Linked DNA regions of Arabidopsis thaliana. The protein of the gene in region 2 interacts with the protein of the main gene of each other region in a pairwise test. Each region holds a gene or a part of one and is shown on either strand. Other genes may lie near its edges.

Region 1 (6,370 bases), on a different chromosome or scaffold from region 2:
TACCGTTTAACCGAGGGAGCTTGTCCTGAGAGCTACGGACTTCAAGTGGCACTCATGGCTGGAATACCAAACCAAGTGGTTGAAACAGCATCAGGTGCTGCTCAAGCCATGAAGAGATCAATTGGGGAAAACTTCAAGTCAAGTGAGCTAAGATCTGAGTTCTCAAGTCTGCATGAAGACTGGCTCAAGTCATTGGTGGGTATTTCTCGAGTCGCCCACAACAATGCCCCCATTGGCGAAGATGACTACGACACTTTGTTTTGCTTATGGCATGAGATCAAATCCTCTTACTGTGTTCCCAAATAAATGGCTATGACATAACACTATCTGAAGCTCGTTAAGTCTTTTGCTTCTCTGATGTTTATTCCTCTTAAAAAATGCTTATATATCAAAAAATTGTTTCCTCGATTATAACAAGATTATATATGTATCTGTCGGTTTAGCTATGGTATATAATATATGTATGTTCATGAGATTGGTCAAGAGAAATACTCACAAACAGTATATTAAGAAGGAAATATGTTTATGCATTAATTTAAGTTTCAAGATAAACTGCAAATAACCTCGACTAAAGTTGCAAAGACCAAACACAAATTACAAAACTTATAAGACTTAAGTTCTGAATTCCCTAAAACCAAAAAAAAAAACAGAACATATTTTGTTGCATCTACAAACAACACAAACCTACATAGTTTATAACTTACTCATCACTGAGATTAACATCAGAATCATTCTCCATTTCTTCATCTTCACTCTCATCATCATCACCACCACCATGATGATTCTCCTCCTCTTCACGTAACCTAGCAATCTCACTCTGAGCTCTATCAACAATCTGCTTCTTCTGCAACTCCAAATCTCTCTGAAAATCAGCTCTCATCTTCTCCAACTCCTTCATTTGCTCTTTCTTACTCTTCTCCATCTTCTCATAAACCTTCCCAAACCTCTCAACAGAATCCGCCAACATCTTATACGAAGCAGCGTCATTAACCTTCTTCCTCTCGTACTCAACCTCATCATCCTCATCCTCCTCCTCTTCAGAATCACCAGGACTATCCATCATCTCATCAAACCCATTAGACTTATCTAAATAAACCTTAGTGTTCATAAACACAAACTCACCTGAATCAACACCACAAGCTAAACCTAAATCCGACTTGGGCGAAACACAAAGCAACATATCCAACTTATTGAAAAACGACCATTTACTTGAACCTAAACCTGATTTCTCAACCTTAATCTTCTCTTTTCTATACTTCCTCTTCAAGTCATCAATCATTCTCCTACATTGCGTCTCAGATTTCTCCATCCTTAGCTCCTCACTCACTTTCTCAGCTACTTCATTCCAATCCTCGTTCCTCAAACTCCTTCTACCCAATTGCAAAAACCTATCTCCCCAAACTTCAAGCAACACAAAAGCTTCTTGCTCTCTCCAATCATACGCAACTTTAGCATCACTAGGACCAGCAAATTCAAACCCAGAAACTACTTTGTTTGGTTTCTGTCTCTTCTGAAACCTCTCATTTCCACGAATGTATCCTCCTTGTGGATCTTCCTCTTCTCCTTCGACTTCATCTTCGTCTTCTTCTTCATTGTAATACGCGTGACGCTTAGGTATTGGTCTACTATACATTGGATGGTTTTGCCGATTCAAAGAGTAAAACTTTTTTGGGTATCCTGTTTCATCTTCGCTGTCACCCATCTTTGAGCAAAACCCAGAAAAGCAAAAGAAGAGAGAAGAAAGGCAGATCTAGGGTTTCAAATCGGACAGATAGAGATTTACCTGATTTTTGCACCTAATAGAGGAATATCTTGGAGGGTTTAGCTTTGAGAAGAGATAAGTAGAAGAAATTGATGAGGTTTATAAACCATGGCCGTGTCTAGGGTTAGGGATTTGCATTTTCAGCCGGGTCGGAGTAGAAGAAAAGCTACCACCACCGGTGAACATTGCCTCAGCCAGCGACGGAGTTTTGTCGCGGCGTTTGTTGGGACCATCCACTGGGTCATATTGGGCCAGTTTGGACAGCACTAATGGGCCAAGAGGACCACAATTATTTAATTTTAACCGATAGCCCAAGAGTTCCCAACTAAAACTAACGATCATTAAGAAAAGGAGAGTCTAAACTCTAACGAATATCAGCTTTGGTGTCGGTTAACTTATGACTTATGGGGTCAATTTCTGACATTTAGGGTCATAATATTTTGACCTTTAGCGTCATATTGGCTCAAAGGATTTGAAGCTGTCGATTTTTGGTGGGTTCGAAGATCTGCGAATGCAGTTACTGATCGACTAGCTAAAATGGGTGCCATTGAAACAATATGTTATTTTGATTCTCTGCTTTATATTCTTAAATATGCTACGTATGCTTTTAATTAATCTGAATAAGTTCAAAAATTAAAAAGGGCTAAGTTTTATTTTTCATATCACGGTGTTATTACTGAACTTGCAAGAGTTTAAGCTGCAAGAATATGAATTGCATAAGCATCTACTATGGGAGCCTCGGTTGTGGGAAATCTCCATGTGTCACATTATGATTCATACGTTTTTGAAAAATGTGAAAGTGTATCCCAACGATAATTCATTTAATACACTATGTAACGTATAATTTTTTAAATTATTAATGATGAAATCTTGTTTGAAGATGATAGTATTAAATTAAGTGGACTAAAATAGAGAAATGCCAGAACTCTTTATTTAATAATTGTTTGTTTCTGTGTTTTAATATAAATAAATGAATGTTATGCTTATTGCCAATGAAAATGTCGACCACGCTTCAATGTTGGTGAGTAATTATTATGCATCAAAAAGGAAGTAAGTATAACCTTAATGGAAATGATCATGGTAGTGATAAGGATCATAAATAATCGCAACGAATTTTGTTGCATCAATGCATCATACTATTGAATAACTAACACTAGTCTCGTACAATTTGATTTTAGGTGTTTAAATCTCGTTAGTGTAAATATAACGAGATAAACATTTACAATACAAAAAAAAAATTGAATTGTGTGACCTTGTAAGAACAGATTTTCGAAAAAAATTAAGAGTTGAGTCATTGATATGAAGAAGCTTCCAAGACAATGATATATGAATTGGTTAGAAACAAGAATTAATATTAATCATAACTCTTAAGTAACTCGGTCATTCCCACATTGACATAAGTAAAAAATAAATTTTAAAAGATTTGATACTTGAGTTTGGTATTCCTGCTAAGTAAAAAAAGAAGAAAAAGATTTGATACTTGAGTTGAGTTGGCATTGTGGACTTTAATTTCGTTTGAATCTCATTAACATGTTAGGCTTAATTATAATTAAACCTAGACGATTGACCTGTTTTGTGGGTAGATGTACCAATATATTTCAATGATTATAAAGGTTTAGTTTTGATCTCTAAATTTTCAATTTTTTTTAACAGTTTCATTTATAAAAAAAATTAATACAATTTTTTTATAAGAAAAACAGTATAGTTTAAAACAAGCTTTAAAAATTTCAAGTCTCAAATCAAATAAATAGAGATTGTTTTTTATGAGACAGTAAACACTACAACATCAACTTTCTTATAAAATATAACAAATTGTTTTACAAAATTCAGTAGGTAGAGTCAGACAGGTATGTATTCGTATAATTTTAACTTTTCAGATTTTTTTCATTAATGTAACTCATAAAACGTTTAAATAGATTAAACAGTGACATCTCATAATTACCTAATACTGATAAAGCAACAAACAATTTTAAGGTAATAATATAGTATTTTTATAAAACGGTTGAGCTAAATATTTGAGATACATACTCATTGTTCTTTAGTATCCAGTACTACTATTTACACAATCAACAAGAACAACAAAATTGTGATATATATTACAGTTCCTCCACATGAAAATAATAAAGTGAAGTAACGGTCCTAGGCTCCTAAACGGATATCTTGGGAGAGAGATGTGAACAAACTTGAAAATTCGTATGAAAGATTTTTGATAAGCCAATCATATTACATGTCACAAGATATCGATGAAGTGAAAATAAAAATGAAATTAGTATTTTATGGTTGGAAGGTCGCGTCGAGAACATAAGTGTAACGGAGAGAGAGAGTCAATGAGTGATCATAAAACCGTTACGAAGTTTCTCAAGTCTTTGACAACAATCTCTTTCAAACGCGTTATGAGTGGTTACGTTCGCTCACTCCAATGCCAACTATGTTGCTTTCACCAATTTTTTGTCTTTTGTCTTTACTTTGAGGCTTTGAGCATTTATTTCTTAATCTTTTATTTATTTTTATTTATTGATTTGACAAATATATAGTCCAAAAGTATCTTCGGTGATTTTTTTGGTAAGGGGATTCCTACGAAAGCAGGATGCTCTATTGCCAATAATATATATAGTTTAGTTAATTAATGAGGAAGTTTTTGGTCTAGTGTTAAAGATAAAATGTTTGCCAAAAAGTTGTAAAGCACTTTGATTTACATGAGATTCCAAATAGAAAAGACTTATTGGATGGAGAAGAAAAGAGAAATTGGTTATAAAGGATTTGATATTTAACCAAAATAAAAATTAAAAAACAAATTTGATGGGACACTGACTTGGTCTCTTGGTTAGAAGAAAAGAGATTTTGGATGGTCTGGTTGCTAGTAGATGATCTCAACCATAGTGGTCTGCTTCACCTCACTGGTCAAATGTTCATCTAAGCACTAAGATTTTGTATTTCTCTACGCAAGAACTTTTATTCTGTGTGAGCTTCCAGATTCATTAGTACTGGAAGGTAAAAGTAACTCTGATACATACTCAACTAGAGAATGAAGTTCACATATCTATAGAAGGATAGAAAATACAACTAATAGCAAATGATCATATACTCTAAGAAATAATTTCTTACCTCATAAGAAGATATGACAACCTTGTCATCTTCACAATTGCATGATATTTTCATAGTACATAATGTTACATACAATTATCAAAAATAGACTATAGAGTCTTTATTTTTTAAAAAAATCGCCAAATTTATAAAATTGTATGATTAGTTGGTGAAAAAAACAGAGATGGCTAGAGTGTATGAGAAACATAATGAAATGAATAATGAATTAACAAGTAACACTTGATGCACACACAAAAAAAAGAAAAAAAATCAAGGAACACTATTTTTTTGTCAATCATAATGCATTACAAATATAGAAAAGGTTTGTGGTGTATCATCCATTACAAGAACCCGATAATCCTAGAGATACAATAGCGTTATAGTAAATGTACATGAATATTTTGCTAATTGATCCGTCATTTACCATCGAATCTTCTAGGGTTTTTGAATTCTTGTGCATGGTTCTCATGAATCACATCTAGTCTATTAAGGAACATTATCTTCCTTATAATTACATTAACAAGACTAAGCATATAATAACAAAATACTTAATTTTATTTTATTCATTTTCTTTAAATTGAAAATGGCAGAAATAAAGATGTTGCATTGTTGGCTCAACAAGAGAAACTCGATAACCTATATTCAAATGTACAAATTATGTTTAAATAGTAATTAAAAGCATTTGGGTTCTTAAGATAATGAATGAATGTTCACACAGTATTTAGCGCACAATCAAGTGGACAAAAGACGTTGAAGACTTCATGGGAAACTTACCATGCGACCTACCTAGTTATTATAACTTCTTTCACTTGGCCTCCTCATATAGACGAAGCCGGTAACAGATGAAAATGTTGATCACCTCGTTCTATTATTTAAATCAAAAATTCATGACAAAATTTAACCGCATAGCATTGTTGATTTAACAAGAGAAGTGATAACCTAGATTCAAATGTATAATTTAGGTTTTAAGAGTAATTAGAAGCACTTGGTTTTTAAGAAAGTGAATGTTTGAGTATTAAAAATAGCAGTTGGTTTAAAATTTAAAAAGAATAAAACAGTACCAATCGTTAGATCATTATAGTTTTACTAGCATATTAAGAAGTGTTGCGAGATTTGTGATGAGAAAAATAGTGGTTACTTTCATATAAGCTCAGGTGAGAAATCTATATGTTTCTCCACGGAAAAGAATACTATGCATATTATGCATAATTTCCAAATTTATATACAATACGTACAAATCTAATAAAATAATCAAAAATATGTATATGTTTGCATGGTTCACTCTAGATCCTCCATACTAAGCTCCTTCATCAATCATCAACGGCTGATTTTTAGTGCAACACTTTCACCTTTTTCAATATTTTACACTGTAACAAGATCTGAATACTTGTATAATTCCTTCATATGGAGACACGATCTCGTGAATTAGTGAAGTTTGCATTATTTATGGGACCTTTTGGCCCACAAGAAAAAGTGTCAGGATACAAAACTTGTGTGTATAGGACGAGTTATACATACTTCTTA
Region 2 (6,147 bases):
CAAACTTGAAATGACCCAAAAGGGGTTTCCGATTGTGGTGTACAAATATTGGGCCATTATGGGCCCATTTCGTTTATGAGATTTTACTCCTAATTGGGCCACACTTGACTATTGGCCCATCTTAATACAAATCATTTCTTTGGGTTAATGAAGATAAAACTTTTTATGAGATTTTATACCAGATTGGGCCATACATGACTATTGGCCAAGCTAAAACAAATCATTTCTTTTGGGGTTAATGAAGATAAATCTTTTTAAACGGATTAAATTTTCTTAAAACAAAGCTTAGAATATATACAGTCAAAAATCTATAAATTAATATTCAATAAATTAATATCTCATTAAATTAATAATTTTCTTCCGTTCTCAAATTGATATTTTAGCCCAAATATTGTCTCTATAAATTAATAAACATGATAATTTATAGAGGTTTTACTGATTAAATTACAATTGCTATTTCAATTTGTAAAAATATTAAGAGTTCCTTTTGAATGACTTTGCTCAAAACGAGGTTTTAGAAAGTGCTAAAGCCTAAAGCTTCAAATGCACATAACACCAATATTTATTCTGCACGCATAAGATTTCTAAAATGATTTCAGTTGTTTTTCTTATTGCGTTTTAAAAACTTACAGTCTATTTATAAAGTGAAACATCTATAAAGAAGAAGAAGACAAACACGTATTTATTGTTAATATTTTTTTTTGTTGTTGAGTACCATATTAACCTAGAAGTTGGAACCGGGCATAATTTTTGCATGTGGCCATTTTTCATGTGATTTACCTATCAGTAAATTTTTGCATAACCGTTACATCGTTGCAGCAGGATTGAAGAAGGGATCATGTGAAAGATAACTGTTTCTGACTTTCTGTCAAAGAAACTTAATCTTAAGGTCGAAACTATATTGTATCATAGGTTATGTATACATAGACACATGATAGTTTGTTGCATAACATATTTTAATTTCTTTTAGAAAAACATAAAACCATGATCATCAAATAAAACAAAACATTTTTGTCTCATTAAGTAAATGCAAAATTGTTTAGTTCTGTTTTATATGTGAATGTTAGATACAGAATGATTACTTTTTCAAGCACAAAAACATTTTTTGCAATTAGTAATTAGCAAACAAAATAAGAAAGATACAATTCAATTGCATTATTGTACCCTTTTCTTCTCTTTGCATTATTGTACCACTTTTTTTTCTCAACATTATTGTACCCTTTATTTTTCTGTGCATTGTACTAATATTTTTTCCCCAAATTAACCAATCAGTGTCTTAATATAACAGTACGTCCAAGAATAATTAATATAAAGCATTGGTAGTTCATTACGTAATTGACTTGATTTGTTAGCAAGCTATCACTGAAGAGTGGTCCTAAATATTATAGGACAAGCGTGTGTGTGTCTATAATTCCTCCGTCTTCTCTATGGTTTTCAAACTAATATTTCCAAATGATCAATTAATGAGTTGTTTCTTTTAAAATATACAGTCTCTATATTGTTTTAGTAAGACAATATACCAAACACTTTGCGCTTTTAGCGAGCTAGTACGTACGTACGAGAAATAAAGTAAAAAAGTAACACATAAACTACGTATCAACGAGATCAAACTTTTGATAAAACAACATTAATCGCTAGAAGGAATTTGATTTTTCTAGTACTTATCAAATAAAACAAAAGGTCGCAAAAAAAAACAAAAATTATTATCACATCCTATGTTGACGTCACAAAACAAAGAAATTGTTATAGGCTTAGGGTTCGGACAAGTGTGGTCCTAAGCCTATCTTCCGATCTTAATCCTTCTGGAACCAAAACAACAACATCTTGAACCATAACCTGACTCAAGCGCGACGCGTTCGCGTGTTGTACACGACAATCCATTTCCATTAACGCACTCATCAATGCCGACGTAGGATGGTTCACATTCTCTGTCTGAACCCTAATTATGGCTTCTTCTCCGACGATCTTCACTTGCACTTCCAAGTCAGAGCCTCTGTTTGATTTTGAAGGTTTCTGGTTAACTTGGTACTCAACGGAAGACGGAGACGTATTGCTGCTGCTGTTGTCTAATTTATCTGTCTCCGTCATCTTCATTTTCTTGATCTCAGTTTCGAGATCATCGATTTTGGATTTAAGACTTTCTATGTACGAAACTGCGTCGGATAAAAGTGACGCTTTGTCCATTCGTGACACTTTTGGTACGATGGCACGTAGAGCGTAAAACCGGTGGTTTAGCTTCTCTCTCCGTTGCTTCTCCGCTTCCACGTGGGACAAAACCGCCGGATGATGTTTCTCTTTCGTCGCCGCAGCTACCCTTGTCGTCTCAAGTTTCCTCCTCCGTTTTCTTTCCGACCCGAATTGCTGATTTCCGCTTTTCGAATGATCTGATACCGCCGGTTTAGGGTAAGAACCGGTTTGGTTAGTGTGTTTTGTTGTTTTACCCGACCCGAATATGGACTTGACTCGGTTTATAAAGTTCCGGTTTTGTATAATTGATTCAGACGAACCAAGTTCGATAATGCCATTGTTGATGGGTATGGAGACCAATGTGTGTACCCCGTGAAAACCGGCTTCTTTAGCCCTCTCGTAGTTGCTAAACCGGAGCTCGTCGGGACCGGTTAACCAAACCAAAGATTCATCGGATACTTCCTTTCTCGGCGATCTATCTTCACCGTAAAACGATGCGGCATAGAACAACTCCAGATCATCTCCACCGTCCATCATCAGCTCACACTCGATGCTGTTTGTTGTATACTTAAGAAAGAAACAAAAACAAAAAATCAAGGGTAAGGAAAATTATATTATTTTCTTAATAGAACTTTTTTAAGAAGTTGATTTAAATAAATTTTGGATATTTTGATTAGATAACATAAGAGGCAAAGAAAAATGAACATTTTCTTGGGAATTGTTGTTCTTGTTTCCACAGAAATGACCATCAACCCAAACCAAGTAAGACCGGTCCGATTGATCATCAAACATCTTTTGCCAAAAAATGACATAAGCCCATCGGTCCGGTGAGGTTTCCACGACAAACCGGAGTTTTTGTTGAAGTACTAAATCCGGAGGAGAAGAGGACACTATGGCTGCAGGAGTTTGTTGTGTAAAAGAGAGCAAAGAAGAGGACAATGATGGAGAGAAAGTGAGATTATACATTTCTTTCCAGTGATCCCGACCAAAGAGAATTTAGAGGGTTAGAGAAGACAAGTGGAAAAGGATGAATAAGATTCTAAATTAATAGAGAAGACGATATTATAGTAGTAATATCAAATTTTCATTAATGATTTTCGTGAATTAAAGTTTATGATAAATATTCCAATAGTAGTAAGTTAGTCACGTGAAAACTGAACTGTTTTCCTACTTTAACGTTATAAGAACAACAATTTATCGTATAGTGGTCCAACTTTGATGAAATAGACAATATATCATTCTTTGCCAAAAAAAAAAAAAAAAAAAAGACAATATATCATTTAGATTTATATTGAATGATGGTTCAAACGAAAACTTATTTTGACAAATTTGAAAAGAAAAAAAAAACATGAGAGCTACAACAAATGGATATATGTGACTTTATAAATTTCATAAAGGAAATGATTTATTCAAATTGGGGTAAGCATTGATCGAAGTTGAGTTATATAGAAAACAATAAGGAGTTATTACTTATTAGAAGCGATCAATGATCCTCATAGCAGCGTCAGAGAGTTGAGCATAGATATTGATTTGACTAAATAGTTGGGGAGACGTGAACTTGACACGTTTGAGATTGAACATACATCTCAGAGGAAAGCCAAGCGCAAGCTTTATCGATTTGTTGGTTTTATCATAATCACCGGTTTTCAAACTTGTTTTGGCTTCCGACAGTATTGTAGATGCATTCGTCGACAAGTCTTTTTTGCAAATCTCCAGAGCTGTTTTCACTTCACCTTTATCTTTCTTTGACGATAAATTCGTTATGTTACTACACAAATGAAAAAATTGATATATTAGAGGATATTTCTGTATATTGGTTATAATTTGTAAGTGAAAACTTGCTTGGTGATGATATGGAGGTGGGATTCAAGACAGTTTATGACGATGCCAGCTATGCCTATATGGTCGGCGTGAATGGAGTTTGGGTCGGATTCAAGACATTGCATGCATATGGCTGGGACGTCTGCATTGTGGCATTCATTTATCATCATGTCCTTCTCGGCGCATATCGACATAGGAGAGATCACCAGTATTAACAGCAGAAACTTGATCATCGTTTTCATGCTAAGTATGATTGATTATAGACTATATTTCTTTTTAAGGGGTGTGAATTACTTATATAAACTAAGAATATGGTTGGTCATGACTCATGAGTGATCTCTTTTACATTACACGTGTTTAACGTCTTTAATTTTACCTTTAAAACTGACCATTGAAATGCAAATTGATGTCTTATTTTACTTCATTTGGGTAGAAAAGCAGATTATAGTTCTCTTTTTGAATTATAATTTATACATTTTCTTACTCCATTCAATAATATTATGATCTATTACCCTTTAGTTTATGTTTTAAGTTTTTTTAATACATTTATGGATATTATTAGACATATAAACAATATAATAATTAAGATGTTTTGGCTTAGAACCTCCTAGTATTAAAAAAAAAAGTAGGGTAATTAATGATGTTTTTTCTTAAAACAATAACTAAAAGTAAGTAAAAGTTTTTTTTTTGTTAATTTTAAATTTTACTAATTGTAAGTAGGTAATAATAAAATTTAAATAAATTAGTGTAATTGTTTTTTTTTATATATACTTAGCTGAATACTTCCGTAAACATGTTTATAATACAAAAGCCCAATTTTGGCCCATAAACTTATAAAACATGGGTTTTTTTTTGTCGTTATAAAACATGGTTTTAGTTCACGAAGAATAATATATTCCTACCGCATCTAATCTATTAAACAAAATCACGTTATTGTATTTGGTAGTGAGTGTTGTTATTCTGGCCATACAAATGGTCAAAAGCCTCTCGTCCATTTCTTTCCATTTTCAAGATTCTTCAATCCATCATTATTTTGCTTTACTTATAAAGAATCGTACGAAAAATTATAATCGAAATAAAGTTTCGAATATACGTACTTCAAACAAAATTAAGAGGAGAAGACCACTGCACAATTGCATATTTATGGTAGATTTTGCTTCACTTTTTTTTGCAAGTGTATGATTAAAGTTTTTCTAACATATCATGAGGTTGTTATTTTTGTGACCGTAAAGATTTAATGAACAACAATTGCGTAGACAACAATGTTGATCAGATGAATTTATAGATTTAGCGAATAAATTTCTTAACTTAATCATTCATTTACAGGAACTTCGTTTTCACATATCTTTATGAACGGAAACGTAACATAGAAGTTATATTGATGAATGGTGGTATATATGTGAAATAACCACTAAATTACTTTCTTCTCCAAATGATTAACCTGTTGTAGAATAGTTTGGCAAAGCCGATAGAATCAGTCCATTGGCCTCCAGTGAAAGGCTTCCACTTTTGAAGTTTTTATAAATTTTCATTGCCAAATTTCATCTTTTGTAACTCACTTTGGAGGAACTTCAAAATCTTGTATCACTTTATCTTTTTCTCTAACATTGTTTGCTTCATAGCATACGTTGAGTCGACAAACTGATTGTTTTTCCTTCCATGTTTTAATCCTTTTTTTTTGCCATAAGACCAAGTCTATAAGTCTAAAATATATAACTGTAAACCTAAACATTTTTATTCTTATGAATATTTACATTTTAGCAACAAAAAACCTGAACTAAAGTGATTTTTAAAATAAAAATGATTTTTAAAATAAAAATGGAAAAATGTAAAATTACTTTCTTCTCCAAATCATTAATAAAATTATAAAATTTCAATTGACAAGTCAACTCATAGAAGAGATTGAGTATAGTAAATAACTAAATATTAATTGTTCAACATACATATTATTTTAATATTATTACAAGATGATGATTTTCTATTTTTATGATCGGGCATAAGCGTACAATTAATCATCATGAGACATATATATATATATATATATATATATGAACAACAACAACAACAACAACAACAACAACAACAACAACAACAACAACAAGCCACACCTTAAGATAAGATGAAATGAAGACCGAGATT
Region 3 (5,590 bases), on a different chromosome or scaffold from region 2:
GTTAGTCCGAACTCGTTAGCTATGGAAGAATGTTGTTGATCACAATCAGAGAATAACTCTTCATTGCTTCTGCTTTCAGATGAATTTGTTGACCCTTGTTCTTCGTTTATCGGTGTTTCTTCGGTTTTTGAATAATCCATTGCTGAGAAACAAAAGGAAACACAGAATCAGACTCAAAAATCATGAATTCGTTACAAAAAAGAAAACCAAGAAGTCAGAATCAAAACCTTTTTGAAGATTTTAGATGATTGATGATTTATAGCTTTAGTGTAGTTTTTGAGATGAGAGAGCACAAATGTTTGAATTCAAACTGCAGAGAGACTAAACATATATATATGAATAGTTAAAAATACAGTTATGGAAAAGATTTTTCTTACACTGTGTTCTGATTTGTTTAAGTCTTCCTGTTTTGGGTTTTGTTGTCTGTTTTCGTTTTTTTTCTTTTCTATTAAAATATTTGTTGCGTCTTGTGCCTTTTGCCGTGAAGGAGAAGTGTCCACATTCACACGATTACACTAATCCCACTTTTGTTTTTGTCACGATTACATTAAACTCATTAATCCCACGTTATTAACAAATACACGAACTTGTAAATATAAAAGGCTATTTTTTGTCAACTATTAAAGGCTATCTGATTTCTTATTTGCAATAAATACATTTATTAAACAGCATCTCGAAATTTAATTTTTTACACGCAAGGCCACTAATTTTGTGGACTATTTATTTACTGAAAACTGAATATGCAGTAAATCTCTACGTGCGGGCGCTGGCTGTTTTCGGGAAAGTGGAAGGCCGGTCGTTTTTACGTAGTAAACTGCTCTTGTAATAGAAGTGGGTTAGAACTGGAATGACCAAATTACCCCTTGGTTCTATACTTCTATATATAGATATCAACGATTCAACGTTGCTGCTGATCGAGACGTTGAATGGTATTCTTGTTACCAGAAATGGAAACCGTGGGGGCTTATTAGCATATTTTATTCCTTCTTAAAATATACTTTATACCATTAAGCGAAATTAACGACTAATTTTGATCAGAAAATTTGACTTGCGTTAGTTTAGTTCCTATCGATATTAACTACAAAAACACCGTTATAATCGTATATGCATGACACTAGAAAACATTGTTCTTCTCGTAAATTCAAAATTTAATCAATGTTTTTGCTACTAAAATGTGATGGATTTGGTTGGAATGCCTAGAATCTAAGAAATACCTAAGCCCATATATTGAGTGTGTTGCCTTAAATAATGTGAACGTAAACCCAAACCATTTGCTTCGTTCAACAACTGACAAAAACAAAACCCTACATATATTAAAAATAAAACATTGCATAATTAACAGGGGACACAAGCTGCCAGACATTATAAATACAATAAGAAGGGGAATTAAAACTGAGAAGACATTTTTTCAAAAAAAAGAAAAGAAAAAAATATCCTTCGTTTATTGCACTAATTCTACTGCATAAGCAAACTTCGGATTAGTGCAGCTTGAGCTGAATCAGTTGATTCCAAAAGTTGAGACAATCTTTCACTAAGATCATCCACTTCTTTGCTCAAGTTCCTTATGTAACTGCATGTCTCTTGTAATACCCTTGATGCTGAAACCTGAAAGTAACCAATATATTGATAAGAAGAAGGATCTTATATATAATTAACAATTTAATTATCATGCATGCAGCATGCTATTTATTGTCGATTAGTTTGGAAATTAAAATTTAGCACTCGTCACAAAATGCATCACAATCAAATGAATCAATACATACATGCAATATTGGAATATATGGAATATTAGTTTAATATTTATTTATAATTCTAACTAAAGACTCTCGTTTGTTTGCAACAACAGAAAGATGAAAGAATTACTGTTAAACTTTGATGGAGGATATATATTAGTTATTATTTTTATTTTTTTTAAACCGGAGGTTTGTTCTTTTAAGTACCCACTACTAATCCAAGGAAGATTTAAAAAGGTTTAGAAAAGATTTAAGGTTTGAAAGAGGAAATTAAATTTTTTAAAAGGAATCATAATGAAAAATTGATTAGAACGTTGTACCTTTCCAGAGCGTCTGTTGTTAGCAAGTTCGGGGAGAAGCCGATGAAGCTGGAGGACAAGATCGTTGATTTGTTCATCCGTGATCATGGAAGCTCCAGTTTGTCTTGAACGTGATTTTCTGCTAGACATTATGTAATATATATGATATGGTAGAGTATAGCTAGAGATTTATAAATCTTAGGGTTCACTAATTAACTTTAATCAATATTTGTGAGTGCAAGTATTTTCTTTGTATGTTATTTATATTATAAGAGAAAAAAGAAGGAAGAATTGAATACAGAAGTGGAAGAGTCTACTGCAACTGCTTAAAATAAACATGAATGGTTTCAACTTGTGTTTATATAGAAGATTTTTCTCCGTTTTTGGCTCTACATGTGTATGCATGGAATAATATAATTGCAAAATTATATATGTTTTTTCTAGCATGTTTCCTAAAAACTGTAATATTTTTAAGTATAGTTAAATTAATTGGTGAATTACTAGATTAACACTCTGACTAGTAGTCTTTAACGAAAGGGAAAAAAAACACTCTGAATAGTATTATGCAAATCTCAATGGGTAAGAATTTATATTTTATCTAAAATTTATAGATATATTTGTGCAATAAAAAAACGCTTATCTTATTTGCAAGAACATCTTTGTTGTTAACGGTAGAAAATTTTCGTCTCGTTATGTTTTTAAACTTATATAGGAAAAACATTTCCATTTATCCAATTACAATTCATTATAAAATAGAAGATTAAAATTCATTTTAATTCCACATTATTTTTTTTGCTAATCCAGTTTTCATTTTTCTATATATGTTTCACTAGTAACCAACTTCAGAACAAGAGTGATCTTGTGCCATTTTAGTAAATCATTTAAAAGGTGATGTTTGATTATAGTTGGAGGATACCTTCTTTCATATTTTTTTTTGGCACGAATAGAGTATACTAAAACATTTTGGGTTTATAAGACAAAGAGAATATGTATGCATGTTTGTCATACTTATCGGCAAACTTGCATAAATTCTGGAATTGGTGATAATACAAACTTTGGTACTAGACTACAAATTATGATTAGTTTGTATGATATCTTAATTAATCCAAGAACTGTAAAATTAGGATTAACTCCTGGAAATGTTAATCAACTTCTATAGTTATATTGCAAGATTAATTTATTTATATAGTTACATACTTGATCTAGTACATATACTAATTTGAGCATGTACAGACAAACATAAATAATTAAGTTGATTTAGTTTTATTAGAGATGAAATTAAACAATTCTAATATCAGTCTTTTCCATTTTGAGTGTACCTTAGTTTGGTCTTTCTTCCATTTTTATTTGTATACCATGGGCATCAATCAGTTGATTAATATATTGCAAATTTGGAATAATCAATCAAGCGCTCGATTATTTATCCATTTAGATCTGACAATTTTATCACTATATCTCAAGAATTTCTAATCAATGGAAATGATTCCTATAAATAATTTTATAGTCTACAGACAGAAATTTGTCTAGGTATCAAACTATATGGTAACCCGTCTCTCTTCCCATCATGTAATATCTTTATATTTAGATAATAAATAACATTCGTTTTATTGAAGTAATTAATATTTTCTCCAAAAAATTCCATTAGTTAATTATGGTTACACCAACAATTGAGAAAAAATATATTTTTAATTTAATTCATTAAATAAATTGTAAACTAAAAGTTTGTTTTTTAATTAAGAAGTTAGAAGAGAAAATTGGACTTTGATTCCAAATTCCGAACACGTATTGTCTATTTTTAAATCGTTATTAGATTTAATCTAGTAATAGATTTTTTTTTCATATGTGGATTGTTTTACATTTTTTTATTATTTTATTTTACATTTTCATTTGATTTTATTTACAGTTTTAAGAAAATAAACGATTTCTTTTTTGTATTATTCAAAAAAATTGCTTTCTTTTTATGTTTACACCAGAATACTTAAGTTATGAATCTTTAGATCAAAAAACAAAATAAAAAATCACATGGACTCATGACTCATTAGTATATCATTACCCGATAAAATATGTTTAATCATTTGTGTAACAATTATTAAAATTGTTTTTTTTTTTTTTTGATAAGGTGAAACAATAAATAAAAGTTATACATGTACATTACATCCGTATATGAGTGTTCATAATTTTGGAAATAAATTAGAGACAATTCCTCTTTTGACAGATCAAAACAAGCACATCTTGCAAACTATGTGATTAAATTAAATTTTTTGGTCGTCTCAACTTGTGTGATTAAATATGTATATGTGTACTTTCAAACTACTAACTTAAGGTATTGTTTTGGTTTTTTATAATCCGTAATTAAAAATCCGAGGATTAAAAGAAACTATAAAATGTAACCCAAAAATATCCAAATAATAATATTTGTGAATTGTGATTAACTAATCAATATACGGTACTATTGCGTGGTCAGCTTGGATCTCAGCTCTCGTCGGGGCACATGAGTTTTTGGAATATACAGCGAAGAATCACGATGTGTACTCTCTTTTAATTTAGTTTTTATTTCTTTGGTTTAACTTTTCTAATATAATATTAATTTTTAGCGTACGGTATACACACTCAATTGATTACAAGTTCTCAAGTCTACTTCTCATTGTAATAATCAGTTCTGAAATTTTTCAAATGTAAACAGAAACTTTTTTTTTTTTTAACAGAAACTTGTTTCTTGCTAAATGTCATTGCTCCACTTTTTTCATTCCAAATAATATCATTAGATGATTAAGATTATGTATTACAAAAAGTAGAGAACCTAAAACAGAGATGATCCGTGCCAAACAAAATTATAAGAAATACAAAGGACATTAGAAATACACAAACTAAGAATCCTTGGGAAATTAGAATTTTTAGCCCACACTAACACCCAACCAATTTTCGATGTTGTGTGTTTTTTATATCCAACCAAGTTTAGAGGTTGTACACAAAAAGAAAACACATGAAATATTGTTTTTGAAAGTGTGAAGAAACCCAAGTTGAAGGAGTCTTTAAAATATTGATAGAACTTTATTAGATTTTAGTACGATAGAATTCCAAGAAAGATTACGGAGATCTCTTTGCCATATGGTTTCTGTCTCAATGATTCGCTTCTATGTTATTGTGTAAGATGATTTATATATACAAATATGTACGAGACTCAATACTACACATTTCCTTAGACAACTCGAAATTTATTGTTTATTTTAGGAATCATATGTACTTAAATATACATGCGCGTGTACATCACACTCTCGGTTTTATATGAAATGCATGCAAAATACTAATCCTGAGTTTGCTGGTGCGATTCCATTGATTAATTATCCTAATTTGGCTTAAAAGAATGGAAACAATGTCATCAAAATCCTCAAATTGTTTAAAACGTTAATTTAAATCCTCAATTTTCCACGAAACAAAATAAATATCAAATTTCTGTCGATTTTTCAAATACTGTAAAATACCAAACTTTTATTGACTTTCCAAATAAATAATAAAATTTTGTTGATATAGCCATATTAGACATACCGTTAAGTGGGA
Region 4 (7,390 bases), on a different chromosome or scaffold from region 2:
TCCCGCAAGCAATGGCCATGTCTCACCTGAAGACGATCGATCCGAATTAGGTGTATCAACTGGCTACAGGAAGCCACCTTTGCCGATGCAACCAGTAACGATCCCACCTAGAACTGTTGGAGGCTATGGCTTGACATCCCCTGATTCTGTTGCAAGGTACTTTCATCTTCCCCTGGACTCTCTCTAGTTATTTAGGTAGCTATAATGATCTAGGTAATTTCTGATCTCAACTTCTTAGTTTCTCCATCATTTTCTTCAGCTTGCCTTGAATTTGTAGTTTCATTTGCACTGTTTCTGTTTCTGTTCTATAATCTTTACATGTGGTTTGTATTACATCTCTGATAGTGGCTAAGTAGCTAAAAGAAATAGATCATTGGTTTGAAGTATGGTGTATGAATCGATGATGGAGAAATCATCTTAAACTGTCAAATGCTTAAGAATTTTCTATGATCTTTATCATCATCTTTGTTTTATTACACCTTACAATCAGAGATTTTTCAATTTGGTGTTCTAGATATTTGTGTAGATATTGGTATACTCTTTGAACCATAACGTTACAAGAGATGTTAGCTTTATTCTTTTGAATATGATGATACTCAATGCTGATATTTCTTGTTGTTTATACATTACAGTGATACTAGCATTTCTTCTGCTACTTCATTTTCAAAGCCGATGTACTACCAAGACCAACCTCCAGCTCTGCCAAGAGCTCCTCCAGTGGCACAGCCTGAAACCACCTCGGCCCAAAGCTCTCAAGTCTTACCTCAGACTGAAAACACTTCAGCCCAAACCACCTCCCATGTCTTATCTCAGCCAGGTACGTACACAACTATGGATCAACAACAACAACAACCTCTGGCTCAACAACCTTTCTTACACCAAGGCGTTCAGTATATCCCTCACCCATCACAATACATACCAATTTACTCTCATCAGCAACAAAACTACCCTGTTTACGTGATGTCCGTCCCACAATCTCAGCAGTATATCCCAGCAGGAACTCCCCCGCTCTACCCGAACTCAAAACCCGGCACAAACTCGAGACCTGAAGCTGCCCAGAACGTTTACCGAGCTGCTCCCCCTCAGGTTATTCAGCTTCAGCAACAGCATCAGTACATGGGTTACGCTGGAGCTCCTCAACATAGCACAAACGCAAACGCCAATTACGGTACTGGAGCTCCTCAACATAGCACAAACGCAAACGCCAACTACGGTGGACCCTTTGAATACACAAACTCTCCAAACGAGACAGTGTATTACCACACACAAGCTCCTGCTGCAAACACTGCCATTCCATTAGCGTCTCCATACCAAAGCATGACACCAGCAGCAGCCGCAGCAGCTCTAGCCGATATGTCCAAGCAAATGGCTCTTGACGGCGGCAAACAGCAACAGCATATGGCTGCGTCTCAGCCGCTTTAAACGCTGGATCTTTGGTAATAAATGCGCAAAGTGTTAAGTATAGCCGACACGGCGCGCTCTGTTCTTTTTGCGTATTACATGTAACGTCCTGTTACATCTCGTTAGATATACATAGGATTTGCTATCTCGTTGTTCTTATCGTAGTTTGCTTATGTCTCTCTCTCTTTTCTGATAAATAAATATGTTTTGGATATTTTTTTAAGTTCTATATTGGAATTATCTTGATCCGAAGATTACACAAAAACTCAAGAAATGGAACACCAGTGTATACTAGATATAGAACTGTGAAGTGATCTGTTGAGGTTGCTTCATGCTTTGTCACTTTAAGTGATGCATTCAACACTTGAAAACTTGATATTGCCGCTCAGAAAAGAAAAAAACTCCATTAACAAGTCAAGAGAACAATTCCAGCTTTTTAAACACAACATAAATCTCCATTAGCTTCATTACTTATAAAACGTTCAATCACATATCTCCACCATGGCCTCTGTTAAGACCATAAACATGTAGCAGTGATTGAAGTAACCAATTCATCCTCTGCAAAACTTGATTCCTTAGCTAGCTTCTAGGATTTCCTCATGCGCATCGAGATCAAAATCCTTTGAATTCACTCGAATCATATGCATAAAACAGAATCATCTTAGCCTCTAACCTGAGGCTCTTTGATTCAACTTGTAGTCAATCTCACCAACAGCTTATACTATTGTAGATTCACGTCAATAACCTGATTGAACAAACCGAGTTTCAAAACAGTACCCCTGTTCAACCATCTTGTTAAACAGAACACACCAGCAACTTGAAACCCACTACTAGTAGTAACCTTTACCATGTCACTTATCAGCAAACCTTGTGATATCCCTAAGACACGCCCTTAAAACAGCTTACATATCAACTCTAGAATCCTTGATGTATCTTTCAAGCTGTAAAGAAAAACCTGCAATACTTCTTCTTGTATGCAACTACCAAAACGAATTTGGCTATTACACCATTCAATTTGCAGTCTTTAGTCAATGCCCTTCATTTTCTTAAAAACAAAATCCTTCACTTGACTGACCTGCAGATAACTTCCCATGAGTAGACACTTACGTTGTCTCGTCATCAACCAAGACAAATTTATGCTCATGAGTTGTTGTCTTCTAAATGCAATTTGAATCCTCTGCATTTGCATTCCTTTCTAGGACTTCTTTTCAGCTGCTAACACCAGCTTTGAGATGAGTTGTTTATCAGGCTTGATACACAACACTTTCATAGTCTTGAAGTGAAATACCTTGAGACAACTCCTGCAACACTTACACATGTCTCTTTTCAGTTCCTTCTTTAGAGAATTCATTGAACCACTTCAATAACTTCATCTCTATTTACACGTTAGTGTCTTTTCTGAAATTTGCAGCCAGCAACTCCTATCTAGAAACCTGCAATTTATTTCTGAAAAATCTGCAGTCTACTTCTAAATGACCTTACCAACAATCAGCTCCAAACCAAGCCTGTATCCACCTTGTACCATCTTTGAGCTGAAAACCCGTTGATAATAAACTGTTCTTGACTTGTTTTCTTATAAGCATATTGAACTTCCATGAATCTGATAAACTAGTGAATTACACAGCCCTTTAACTCTTTTATCTTCAGCTAACCTTCTAAGACAACATCCACAAACATAGCTCCACCATGAAAAAATAACAACCTTAAGTATATGTATTGCTAACTAAACCGGACAGATGAAACTAAACCGGAGATTAAGACATTTAACCAAATTATTGATTCAGGTTCTGTAGCAGATTCAGGTATGAAGAAGAGCTTTTTTCCTGTCACAACCTAAAACCCTAAATCTCTGATCCGCCATGAGAGGAGCTCTCTTGAGAAATGCATCTCTCTGCGCTCGCAGAATCATTCTTTCTCCTCGTATAACCCATCAGATCTCCCCCAATGTTCCCTTTCTCGCTCCAATCGCCGCTCCTGCTGCTCCCAAGTTCAGATTTTTCTCCTCCGAATCCGGTGAGAACTCGACTACGGCCCCTGAGTCTTCGCCGACTGATTCACCCGAGAAGAAAGATCTCGTTGTAGAAGATGTAAGCAACAAAGGTAAAACACACTCTATCCTCTTGTTTGGTTACCTCACACTTGAAATGGCCTTTGTATTAGTTGAAATGTGTGAGTTTAATTCTCATCTCACCATTTCTCAATACCTCATAGTTTTCAATTGATCCTTCGATACAAGATTCGTAGCTTCTTATCTCATGAACTAGTAGAATAGCTGTAGGTAATCGTTTGAAATTGACTTCATTTATTGGATTTTGTGGTCTCAGAGCTTAAAAGCCGTATAGAGAAGTATTTCAATGAGGGTAATGAAGATGCTTTACCCGGAGTTATTGAAGCACTTCTACAGAGAAGACTTGTAGACAAACACGCAGAGACTGATGATGAATTGTTGGAAAAAATCGAGTCTCTACCTTTCAAAGATGATGTCAAGGATGAAGATTTTGAATCCGATTTCGAGGAAGCACATTCTACTGACGAAGAACTTGAGGATTTGTACAATTCTCCCGAGTATGTAGCTGAAAAGATGAGGAAGAATGAGTTTTTCAACATGGATGATAAGAAGTGGGATCACATGATTAGAGAAGGTATCCAACATGGGTGTCTTACTGATACTAAAGAATGCGAGGAGATTCTTGAGGATATGCTCAAATGGGACCAGCTTCTTCCTGGTAATGGCTCGTTTATTTTCAATCTTCCCGTTCATCGACTCACATCCTTAGACATAGATTAGGTTGATTAATAGACTAATGTGCGTCGTTATAGCTAAACACAATCTCTTCGTGGAACTTAGCTTTTGTAGTTAACCTTTCTATTTGGATTTTTCTGAATCATGGTATGAGAAGTTGAGAACCATTCGTTTTTTTAACTCGTAGAAGGTAATGTACTATGCCAGATATGTTACTTCTCGGATCAGTAGGGCCGTTTAGAGAATATATTGGTTTGTTCCTGTGATGCGTACATATGAACATTTCTCTAACTGTGTATGTTCATTCAGATGACTTGAAGAAAAAGGTTGAAGCAAAGTTTAATGAGCTTGGAGATATGTGTGAAAGAGGTGAAATTGAGGCTGAAGCAGCTTATGAGCTTTTTAAGGAATTTGAAGATGAGATGGTAATTCAGTATGGGGATCAGATGGAAGCTGAGGGTCCTCCCCAATTTGGTGAAACAGATGCTTCCGATAGGAATACTGACTTGGATGATCCCCCTGGTAAAGGCCCAATCCTCAGGTGGCAATCAAGGATAGTTTTTGCTCCTGGAGGTGATGCGTGGCATCCAAAGAACAGGAAAGTTAAAATGTCTGTTACAGTGAAAGAGCTTGGGCTCTCAAAGCATCAGGCTAAAAGGCTAAGGGAACTTGTAGGGAAAAGATACCATTCGGGGAAAGACGAGCTTACAATCACCAGCGAGAGGTATATATAACTATAAATCTTAAGCTTTTCGTGAGACAAGAATGTTGAATCATGAAATGTTTTTGTCCTGTCACAGGTTTGAACACCGAGAGGAAAACAGGAAAGACTGCTTAAGAACTCTTTACGGGTTGATAGAAGAAGCTGGGAAAGCCAACAAGATCGCTGAAGACATAAGAACTTCATATGTAAAACAAAGACTCCGTGCCAATCCAGCTTTTATGCAGAAACTACAAGCCAAGATCATAAGGTCTAAAGAATCAGATGCCATCAACGCTTGAACAAAACTTTTCCCGGTTAGCGCCTTTCTTGTCTCACCAAATAATCTGTAGGATCGTCTTCTTTTGGCAATCATTTGATCCGTTATGGCTTTTCAGATCCATGAAGAATCTTTGATGGTAACTCCTATCTTAGTTTGGTTTGCTTGTTGTATCTCATGAAGACATGAACCTTGGCTGTGCTGTTGGTGTCTATTAGAGACTAGTTAACGTTTTCTCAGAATTATGAATCTCTCCTAAAGTTAAGGTTTCAGATATGTTTACGGGTTCAGAATGAAAGTAACCAAAGGAAAGAATTGGTACAATTTTTGTTTGGGTTTTGTATCAGATGTCTTTCTAATTTTTAAAGAAATTCAATCAGTAAGATAAGAAATGGAAACTAAATAAATTATTGCTTCAATATACGATAGCTATACATCTATAAACGAAAGTAAAATGGTCGGACTGTTCTGTTTATATTTTCCTGACGAAGAAAAATGAAATCTCAACCTCCACAACCACCACCGCAACCGGCACCGCCACAACCTCCGCCACCGGTAGAGGTGCCTGAAGTGGCTCTGTTGTCGGAGACTCCGTCGGCACAAGAGAATAACAGAGCGGAGAGGATACAACAACCGATCACAGCCAGGAACACAACATGAAACAGGTAACTAGCATCGAAATGTGTTGTTGTGGTGGCCATGCTCATTACATCTTCTAATAAGTGTCTCGCCATCTCTCTTTCTCTAGTTAATGTGGATGAGATTAAGTTGTTTAACGTGAAAAGCTTTCCTACTTATAGCCGATAAATTCGTACGTAAGGCCACTGACTTTTGATAAATTATTCGTTCAGTAGTAAGATTTCTTTGTAATTAAATTTTTCTTTTTAAGAAAAGAAGACTTATTTGTTAAAATATAGAAAAGACTGCAATACAAGACTTACCAGAAAGTCATCCATTTTAGTCTACTATTCTCCTCCTCTCAACTAAACACATTTGACTGCGGAATTTTGATGGAATCACGTATATTAGATGAAGATAGGACCCGGTTTATAATAATTTCTAGTTGAAGATTATGTTTCTTTAAAAATATAAAACTTGTAATTCGAAAGGCTAGGCTAATTTTATAGGTCAAGATTATATTATGCTTTTAAAGAAATTTAAAGTTCAATATTTGATAAATTACATACATAGTTCTAGTTAAGGTTTTGTCGAGGAAGTTTAGTTGAAGATAAGGATTTTTGACCATTTACATTAGCGTGAGAAAAGTCAAATGCCATAATATAATTATCATTAATCATAATGTATAAATCAGCTTGAATTGCCTCGTCTTTTTAAAAAAATTATAAATATTGAAGTGATTGTTCATGGCCTTTGTTAAATCCAATAAAAATACAGAGATTTTGTACTGTTTAGTTATTTATCATTGGTTATCATTGATTGTTCATAACTTTATGCATGAGAAGCTATTAAGTCTCTCTCTTCTATTTCACGTGGACTCCATTTTTGTTGTTGGTCCAAATTTGACTATGCAAAATCAAATTCTTATCAAAGGACTTTCGACGTAACCCAATGTTCTTCCCTTTTTTCTTTTGGCGTCTTATTCTTCTACCACTAACCAAATTTAATTCATCATGGATTATGTAATTTCGTAATCTAAAAGCTTCCGAAACATTTGACCAAACAAGAATATATAACTCCGTAATATATATTTTTATTTATGTATACAACTGCCAAAAAATACCAAACTTCCATTTTTTACCAAAAAAATATCAATTTTTTTATTTTATAAGTATCTAACTTTCTAACAAAACTTATAAAATACTTTACGTCCATACCACATATTTTGACGTACGCAGTTTGAACTAGCTAGGTGTGAGCATCGATTTTTGGGTATAGTATGTTTCAGATTTTTGGAAAAATTAAAGTTCCTTAATAAAAAGGAAGATTGAAAAATGTGTTAGAATAGTCGATGTTAAGCGAGAGAGAAATTGTAGGTTAAAACAAAAGTGAAAAGTCTAACTCCACTTATTATTAACATTGTCATTTTCAAAATAACAAAATATCTCTTTGACAATTTTGTAGAACAATTGGTATCTATTTTAGACAAAGTTTGGTTTGGACAAAAAACGAAAATTTGGTATTTTGTTTTGTATTTTTTCCCATACATGTAAACAAACGTACGTATCTTGATATTTATCCGACCACTTTCGCTTTCGATTTAGTGTTTATTTATTTTATTTTTATAGAAGAAAATTATTATTGAAAA

What was found.
Region 1: the proteins of AT4G00870 (region 2) and AT3G24490 interact in a two-hybrid assay, tested with the Arabidopsis thaliana proteins (one large-scale study listed by BioGRID).
Region 3: the proteins of AT4G00870 (region 2) and BNQ3 interact in a two-hybrid assay, tested with the Arabidopsis thaliana proteins (one large-scale study listed by BioGRID).
Region 4: the proteins of AT4G00870 (region 2) and AT3G18240 interact in a two-hybrid assay, tested with the Arabidopsis thaliana proteins (one large-scale study listed by BioGRID).

The regions. Positions count from the first base shown.
Region 1 is NC_003074.8:8,906,354-8,912,723, reverse strand, and holds AT3G24490 (Alcohol dehydrogenase transcription factor Myb/SANT-like family protein), read right to left. Parts: upstream 2,303-6,370; 5' UTR 1,703-2,302; coding exon 701-1,702; 3' UTR 501-700; downstream 1-500. Other genes in the region: MSH7 (MUTS homolog 7), read left to right, coding at 1-306.
Region 2 is NC_003075.7:360,487-366,633, forward strand, and holds AT4G00870 (basic helix-loop-helix (bHLH) DNA-binding superfamily protein), read right to left. Parts: upstream 3,224-6,147; 5' UTR 3,154-3,223; coding exon 2,893-3,153; intron 2,755-2,892; coding exon 1,744-2,754; 3' UTR 1,447-1,743; downstream 1-1,446. Other genes in the region: AT4G00872 (Plant invertase/pectin methylesterase inhibitor superfamily protein), read right to left, coding at 3,661-3,955, 4,030-4,250.
Region 3 is NC_003074.8:17,587,321-17,592,910, reverse strand, and holds BNQ3 (BANQUO 3), read right to left. Parts: upstream 2,368-5,590; 5' UTR 2,183-2,367; coding exon 2,054-2,182; intron 1,606-2,053; coding exon 1,456-1,605; 3' UTR 1,241-1,455; downstream 1-1,240. Other genes in the region: SRO4 (uncharacterized protein), read right to left, coding at 1-140. UniProt on the Arabidopsis thaliana protein: Atypical and probable non DNA-binding bHLH transcription factor that integrates multiple signaling pathways to regulate cell elongation and plant development.
Region 4 is NC_003074.8:6,252,550-6,259,939, forward strand, and holds AT3G18240 (Ribosomal protein S24/S35), read left to right. Parts: upstream 1-2,292; 5' UTR 2,293-2,307; coding exon of another isoform or gene 2,308-2,381; 5' UTR 2,382-2,476; coding exon of another isoform or gene 2,477-2,513; 5' UTR 2,514-2,603; coding exon of another isoform or gene 2,604-2,752; 5' UTR 2,753-3,260; coding exon 3,261-3,501; intron 3,502-3,725; coding exon 3,726-4,127; intron 4,128-4,453; coding exon 4,454-4,868; intron 4,869-4,944; coding exon 4,945-5,146; 3' UTR 5,147-5,161; exon of another isoform or gene 5,162-5,242; 3' UTR 5,243-5,541; downstream 5,542-7,390. Other genes in the region: AT3G18230 (Octicosapeptide/Phox/Bem1p family protein), read left to right, coding at 1-156, 633-1,422; AT3G18235 (uncharacterized protein), read right to left, coding at 2,123-2,180, 2,308-2,381, 2,477-2,513, 2,604-2,752; AT3G18250 (Putative membrane lipoprotein), read right to left, coding at 5,628-5,858.